Xenopus tropicalis: one gene and its partner. The protein of the gene in region 2 purifies or fractionates together with the protein of the main gene of each other region. This does not show direct contact. Links are inferred from orthologs where the notes say so. Each region holds a gene or a part of one and is shown on either strand. Other genes may lie near its edges. The genes, in order: eif3h and eif3d.

The links.
Region 1: the proteins of eif3d (region 2) and eif3h purify together in Homo sapiens (affinity purification with mass spectrometry; 10 studies listed by BioGRID and IntAct, counting the BioPlex papers as one, with this or other methods). This does not show direct contact. The link is inferred for Xenopus tropicalis from reciprocal best matches to the Homo sapiens genes EIF3D and EIF3H.

The regions. Positions count from the first base shown.
Region 1 is NC_030682.2:136,703,724-136,707,549, forward strand, and holds part of eif3h (eukaryotic translation initiation factor 3 subunit H), read right to left. Parts: intron 1,137-3,826; coding exon 1,037-1,136; intron 1-1,036.
Region 2 is NC_030680.2:123,536,295-123,540,120, forward strand, and holds part of eif3d (eukaryotic translation initiation factor 3 subunit D), read left to right. Parts: intron 1-904; coding exon 905-1,037; intron 1,038-1,130; coding exon 1,131-1,278; intron 1,279-2,360; coding exon 2,361-2,491; intron 2,492-3,805; coding exon 3,806-3,826. UniProt on the Homo sapiens protein: mRNA cap-binding component of the eukaryotic translation initiation factor 3 (eIF-3) complex, a complex required for several steps in the initiation of protein synthesis of a specialized repertoire of mRNAs.

The DNA of each region.
Region 1 (3,826 bases), on a different chromosome or scaffold from region 2:
ATGGTTAAATGATTCCCTTTTCTCTGTAATAATAAAACAGTACCTGTACCTGATCCCAACTAAGATATAATTACCCCTTATTGGGGGCAGAACAGTCCAATTGGGTTTATTTAATGGTTAAATGATTCCCTTTTCTCTGTAATAATAAAACAGTACCTGTACTTGATCCCAACTAAGATATAATTACCCCTTATTGGGGCAGAACAGCCCTATTGGGTTTATTTAATGGTTAAATGATTCCCTTTTCTCTGTAATAATAAAACAGTACCTGTACTTGATCCCAACTAAGATATAATTACCCCTTATTGGGGGCAGAACAGCCCTATTGGGTTTATTTCATGGTTAAATGATTCCCTTTTCTCTGTAATAATAAAACAGTACCTGTACTTGATCCCAACTAAGATATAATTAATCCTTACTGGAGGCAAAACAATCCTATTTGGTTTAATTAATGTTTTATTGATTTTGTAGTATCAAGGTATGGGGGATCCAAATTACACAGACCCCTTATCCGGAATACCCTTAGTCCCGAGCATTCTGGATAACGGGTCCTATACCTGTATATAGAACAAACTATTTGGGTAAAACAAAATGAAGTAGTGATGCTTCAAGCACCAAATTTCCATCTTTTAAAATGCTATGCCCCCATTGCTCATGAGGTGACCCCAAGCAATCCATGTGCGATACAGAGCACACGTATCTGCGGATAACGCACACACTGTCTCACAAAGGTGCAGCTGTTACCGAGCACTCTAATTTCTCTTTAATGAGACACTGCAAGAGCGCCTATCCACCCAAAGCAAGAGGAAGATGCAGCCCTTGGAGCTACACAATCGCATGATTGGAGCGTCAGGAATTTATGGAACACGCCGGAGACACAGCGAGCAATTCACGCGCTCACATTTTCTGATTTCTCATTCTAGTAATCTCTTTGCCTTAAATGACTGGACAACATGTTCTCTGCCGTGTTCCTCACACCTTCCCAATCCGGGAAACAAGCAAGCTGCCAAGTTCCACACACTGTTCATTCACGTACCCTTCAGCCGAGAAGTCTTTTTCCTTGCAGACTTCCATCAGTTTGGGTGTCAGCCGATAAGCCTTCAGCGAGAGGGAGCCCTGGCCGGTTTTGATGGGATCTACAGAAGGAGATTCAATGTCAATGCTATTTTCATAAACAGATTTTTATTTCATCATTTACAAAAACTAAACACAAGTTTAAAAAAAAAATACATGCACTCTGCCTCCTAAATTGGTGCCCGCTGCAACCTTAACTTACCTCCCCAAAGTACAAAAGCAGTAAGGCCCAACATAAAAGTTGGGACATGGTTTCTCTGGGCCCAACCTACTCTGCATACACTCACTTTCTATAAGGCATAAGGGATAAAATAATTTTATTTTGATCTAATTAACACTGACCCTCAAGCTGTTATTTCCTTTGAAAGAGTCCACTGGAAATCTAAAGGGATAAATGTACAGGTATGGGGCCTGTTTTTCAGAATCTTCAGGGGTTTTACAGATTTTTTCATAATTTGGATTTTTATACCTTTCTACTAAAAAATAATTGAAACATTAAATAAACCCAATAGGACTGTTCACAAAAGTGTGGCGTTTTACTAAACAATAGGAGGACTATTGGGCAGTATGCTTTTTAAATCTTGACTTGCATTCTCCTTTAATAATGGTCATTTCCCAGTAACTGAAAATGTGACTGTCTTGTGGGGACCAAGGACTACTTACGAAGGGAGTGAGTGATCCCCACTAATAGTGATTGTTTTGCCACCAATAAGAGGTAATTATAGTAGTCCTATTGGGTTTATTTAATGGTTAAATGATTCCCCTTTTCTCTGTAATAATAAAACAGTACCTGTACTTGATCCCAACTAAGATATAATTACCCCCTTATTGGGGCAGAACAGCCCTATTGGGTTTATTTAATGGTTAAATGCTTCCCTTTTCTCTGTAATAATAAAACAGTACCTGTACTTGATCCCAACTAAGATATAATTACCCCTTATTGGGGGCAGAACAGCCCTATTGGGTTTATTTCATGGTTAAATGATTCCCTTTTCTCTGTAATAATAAAACAGTACCTGTACTTGATCCCAACTAAGATATAATTACCCCTTATTGGGGCAGAACAGCCCTATTGGGTTTATTTCATGGTTAAATGATTCCCTTTTCTCTGTAATAATAAAACAGTACCTGTACTTGATCCCAACTAAGATATAATTACCTCTTATTGGGGCAGAACAGCCCTATTGGGTTTATTTAATGGTTAAATGATTCCCTTTTCTCTGTAATAATAAAACAGTACCTGTACTTGATCCCAACTAAGATATAATTAATCCTTACTGGATGCATAATAATCCTATTGGGTATAATTGATGTTTTATTGATTTTTTAATAGACTTGAAGATCCAATTTACGGAAAGATCACTTATCTGGAATAGCGTTGGTCCCGAGCATTCTGGGTCCTATACCTGTACCTACTTACAATGTCAAGAAGATATAATGTACAGGGGAGGTAAGCGGTGCATCATTTCTGTAACAGCTAGGCACTATAAGCGGAGAGAAATTTTTAGAGGTGCCTTTACTTGCTGCCGTAACTAAATAATTCAGACCTGTTCTATTACAGAAGATACAGCATTGCTTAAAGATTGCAGAAGCTCCAAAGTCTGTACTGCACAACTGCTTCACTCTCAGCACATTTATGTCCCGTGTTACCTTACTTACAGACATAAAAAACAATAAGGACACACCAGTAAAATGAACTATCCATTTTATACAGACCCTTGAAGGTGTATAGGAAATCTGAAGCTGAAACGTTTAAATGGAAAAAATATTAGTGTTACAAAGATCTGGTCAGCCAATGCTCTGTGTAATAGGTGGACAACATAATCCAGATCCCTATAGGTTGAGACCCCTGCTAACTTCTTGTGAGACAATTATAAAACAGGAGGGCTATGGGAAGTAAGCCGTTATACAGAATGCAGTTGCCAGGCAGCTTAAAGAAAAACTATACCCCCAGAATGAACACTTAACCAACAGATAATATAAACTATATAAACAGTATCACTAAATATTGCTCTTTTACATCCTTTCCCTTGAGCCGCCATTTAGTGATGGGCTGTGTGCTCCCTCAGAGATCAGCTGACAGGAAGTGATGCAGCTCTAACTGTAACAGGAAGTAGTGTGGGAGCAAAAGGCAGAACTCTGCCCATTCATTGGCTGATGGGGCCTAGCATGTATGTGTGCCTTGGCTTGTTTGTGTGCACTGTGAATCCTATGATCCCAGGGGACGGCCCTTAATTCTTAAAATGGCAGTTTCCTATTTAGGATTACCCAATAGCACATACTACTAAAAAAAAGTATATTTATATTGAAATGGTTTATTTAGATGAAGCAGGGTTTTACATATGAGCTTGTTTAGGCAGTGTACTTTGCATGCAGAGTCAGTAACACCTAAATAGATGATAGGTTAAAGAAAACCTGACCTCTTAATATTCCCATTTAGGAAATAAAGGAGGAATAGCAGAGGACTCACACAAAGCAGGAGGTATGTAATGCTAGGGGGCCATGCTATGCAAAGAGACAATTAGTTAATGTATTTGCCTCTTGTCTGCTGCTGCTACTACTGCAAGCGATAAGGCTGCCTGCTGAAAAATTTCAATGCTGAGCTTATTAGCATGCAGACTGCACTGCTCCCCGGCACACTGCATGCCTTCCGTGCATGGCAAATCACAGACACTATGGCCACACAGCTCCAAGAGAGAGCGATACAGCGCGAGGCCTGACGCCCATAGGCAGAGATAAGCCATGGGAAAGG
Region 2 (3,826 bases):
ATTTTATTTTAATTGTAGTGTCTTTTAGATGGCAGTATCCTAAGCAGCTTTGCAACTTATCTTTTTTGCTGGATTTGTATTAATTGGGTTTTCATTTTTCGAAGTGAAATCGTTTCTGCTTGTTAGGGCCATTGACTAGAATACGGATTCCACGCCCACCCTTTGCTCATATTTCTTTTAAGAACCTAGATACTAAAATGTATTCTTATGTCTTCCACTTTAAAGGAACAGTAACACCAAGAAATGAAAATGTATCAAAGTAATGAAAAAAAAAAAGAATGTACTGTTGCCCTGCACTGGTAAAAGTTGTGTGTTTGCTTAAAAAACCCTACTGTAGTTTATATAAATACCCTGCTGTGTATCCATGGGGGCAGCCTTTCAAGCTGGAGAAAGGAGAAGGCACAGGTGATGTAGCAGATAAGCCCTGTAAAATACGTAAAAAAAAAGGTGTTTTATCTGGTTTCTACCATGTAACCTGCACCTTTTCTCCTTTTATTCCCAGCTTGAATGGCTGCCCCCATGGCTACATAGCAGAGTGTGTATATAAACTGTAGTAGCGTTTCTAAAGGAAACAGATCAGTGTTACCAGTGCAGCGCAACAGTGCGTTACGTTTTAATTACTTTAAAGTGCTTTCATATTGGTGTTAGTGTTTCTTTAATAATGCAAAGCCACATTAATTTCCTTATTTATTGTACTTTTGTAGGCAGTTTCAGAAGGTTTCTGTGCTGAGGCATTATATACAGAACTCACAAGAACTGTGTCAGTTTCACCATCGTGCTGCTCTGTAGGCGGCGGCCTAAATGCAATATTAATATTGCATGCTAACCTACATAAAATGCTAATTATTTCTTGGAAATAATGTATCTAGGCAAGTATTTTAAATCTTCTCATTCCTCATGCCAGAGAGTGCTGTGGGGCCTTGGAATTCTATGACAAAGCATTCGATCGCATTACCACCAGAAATGAGAGACCTTTGAAGAGTATTAAAAGAATATTTCACACAGTGACTACCACTGATGATCCTGTTATTCGGAAGGTGAGGTACCATTTTGCTTGGACTTTTTTTCTACAAATTAAACCTTGTGATGTATTGACACCTAATAACTTTTCTTGTATTCTTTCTCCATAGTTGGCTAAAACTCAGGGCAATGTCTTTGCTACTGATGCTATACTTGCCACGCTTATGTGTTGCACACGTTCAGTCAATTCTTGGGACATTGTGGTCCAAAGGGTGGGGTCGAAGATCTTCTTTGACAAGAGAGACAACTCAGACTTTGGTGAGTAGGCAAAAGGTGGCACCAGTCTAAGCTTTGTGAGCTCTGTAGCAACCAAAGCCTCAAACCCTAATATAGTAGCTTGGAGGTACGAAGGGGAGCTGAGAGTCCAGATGCATGCCTCTGAAGCTTCCCCTTGTTAGCTTTATATAATCACATCACTGAGCATACTGATCAGTACTGGAGAATGGCTAGCAAGCCCTCCAGAAGCCCAGAGCTCCTTGTGCACTGTCGCCATGGCCATTATGAGATAGGTAAAGCCCTAGAGGGCAGATTCAAACTTGTGTATCCTCACAGCCTTAGGGTTGCTGTGTCACAAATGCAGTAAGCTTTATAGATAGAATATCTTTTTTAACTTCACTATTATTGGGCTTAAGGTAGCCTGTAGATTAGTATTGTCTGAGAATGTTCTGTGTTCAAATATTTTACAGCAAATGGCTGAACCTGGTGGTCTAGATGTGTAACCTGACACCCTTAAATATAGTTTGCCGCCTGCTCCACCTAGGTCCATTAGTGTTCTATATAGTGATACATATTGAATGACTGTGTAAAATGCACAAACAACTGCAACCTTAACATAATGTTATATTGCAGTTGTTTCCATAGACAGATAACAAATTACATAGTTTATCTTAGTAAAGTCTAAATCTCTGATATGGACTTATGCAAATGGAAAATGGGGCTGATCAAGGTAACTTTTCTTGTGGAAAGATAACGTTAAAAAGGCAAAGTTAGGGATTAGCACAAGTTGCTTCACTTTGTACACAAAGGTAAGAGGCACTTGTAACTACAGTTGTTAATTAAGTGAAATTAAACTTATTGGCTGTGGCCTGATCCGTTGGATATTTTGTTGGAAGTGAGCCAGGATAAATAGTGGCATGAAAAATGCCCTGTGTGCACTATTTATAGCCCTAAAACTCCTTTTCCTACTCTACTTATGTAATACTGTCTTGATTAGATTGTATAGATATAAAAGCCATGATTTGATTGGCATGCAATGAAAAGTGCTTCTGTACATGATTTTGTGTGTTTAGTTCTCTTGTGTTTTTCTTGGCACGCTGCTTAATTTTTATGTCCTTCTCTAGATTTGCTCACCGTGAGCGAAACTGCCAATGAGCCCCCTCAGGATGACGTGAACTCCTTAAACTCCCCACGGAATCTGGCCATGGAGGCCACTTACATCAACCACAATTTCTCCCAGCAATGCCTTCGCATGGTGAGTGCTTTGACTATAGAAGCCTCATATAGAATATAGGCATATAGAAGCCTATAGACAGTGAAGCCTCAGTTACTAACATTGGCGATAAAATTTCTTAACAGCAAAGGCCCATGGCAAGCAGTCTGCAATTTACTTTTAATAGTTAGCAGAAAATGAAAGCATACATCTGATTGGCTGTATGAGCAAATGCACTGGTGTCACTGAGCACCTATGTTTTATATGCTACCCATAATGTTCTCTTGTTCATAGTATGATTAAATCTACTTGTAGTTAGTTGGCTGGAAATAGTTGGTATCACTCAATAGGCAGGCTGTACTAGGGTGTATTATTATGTTGGGAATTTGGGTGCCAAGTGTGTCTCATATGTATGTGAGAATTTATAATGGTGCTTTTTTGGACCCAGTTACTCTCACTATAGCTTTGGGGGACATAGGGACTGTAGGTATAGCTTCCACCTGTATGAGGCAGGACATTAAAGGAACAGTAACATCAAAATATGAAAGCGTATTAAAGTAATTACAATATAATGCACTGTTACCCTGCACTGTATAACTGGTGTGTTTGCCTCAGAAAGACTATTATAGTTTATATAAGCAAAGCTGCTGTGTAGCCATGGGGGCAGCCATTCGAATGAGAAAAGGCACAGGTTACTTAGCAGATAACAGATAAAATGCCATTGTATTCTACAGAGTTTATCTGTTATCTGCTATGTAGCCTGTGCCTTTTCTCCTTTTTTCCAGCTTGAATGGCTGCCCCCATGGCTACACAGCAGCTTATTTATATAAACTATAGGAGCGTTTCTGTAGCAAATACACCAGTTTTACCAGTGCAGGGCCACAGTACATTATATTTTAATTACTTTAAAACACTTTCATATTTTGGTGTTACTGTTAAGGAACAAAAATGGCTCCTCCTTCTCAAGCCATATCCTACAGTACAGCTCAGTTTTTTCTAAGTGCCAAGGTTAGGACCAGGTCTGGAGTACTTCATGGGCCTTCAGGAACCAAATATCAGCTCTGGCATTCGTTTGGCCCTCTTTTCTACACTTTTTTTTTTTTTTTTTGCAGCATCTCACAAATGCTTTGGATGCAAAGTTCTGCAGGTGTTGGTCATTTTTGGCTCCGCCTGCTGCCCTCTGTTTGATTTTCTTTCTAGGTGACAACTTTGGTCCTGTGTCCCTCGGGTTAATTTAATAATGATATATATTTCTCAAAATCACAATCTTTTTTTCAAGGCTGGTGAGATGACAAATGGATTACAAGATGCAAGACTTTTCACCTTTATAACTAGGAATTTCCTTTTCTCTTTCAGGGCAAAGAGAAGCACACATTT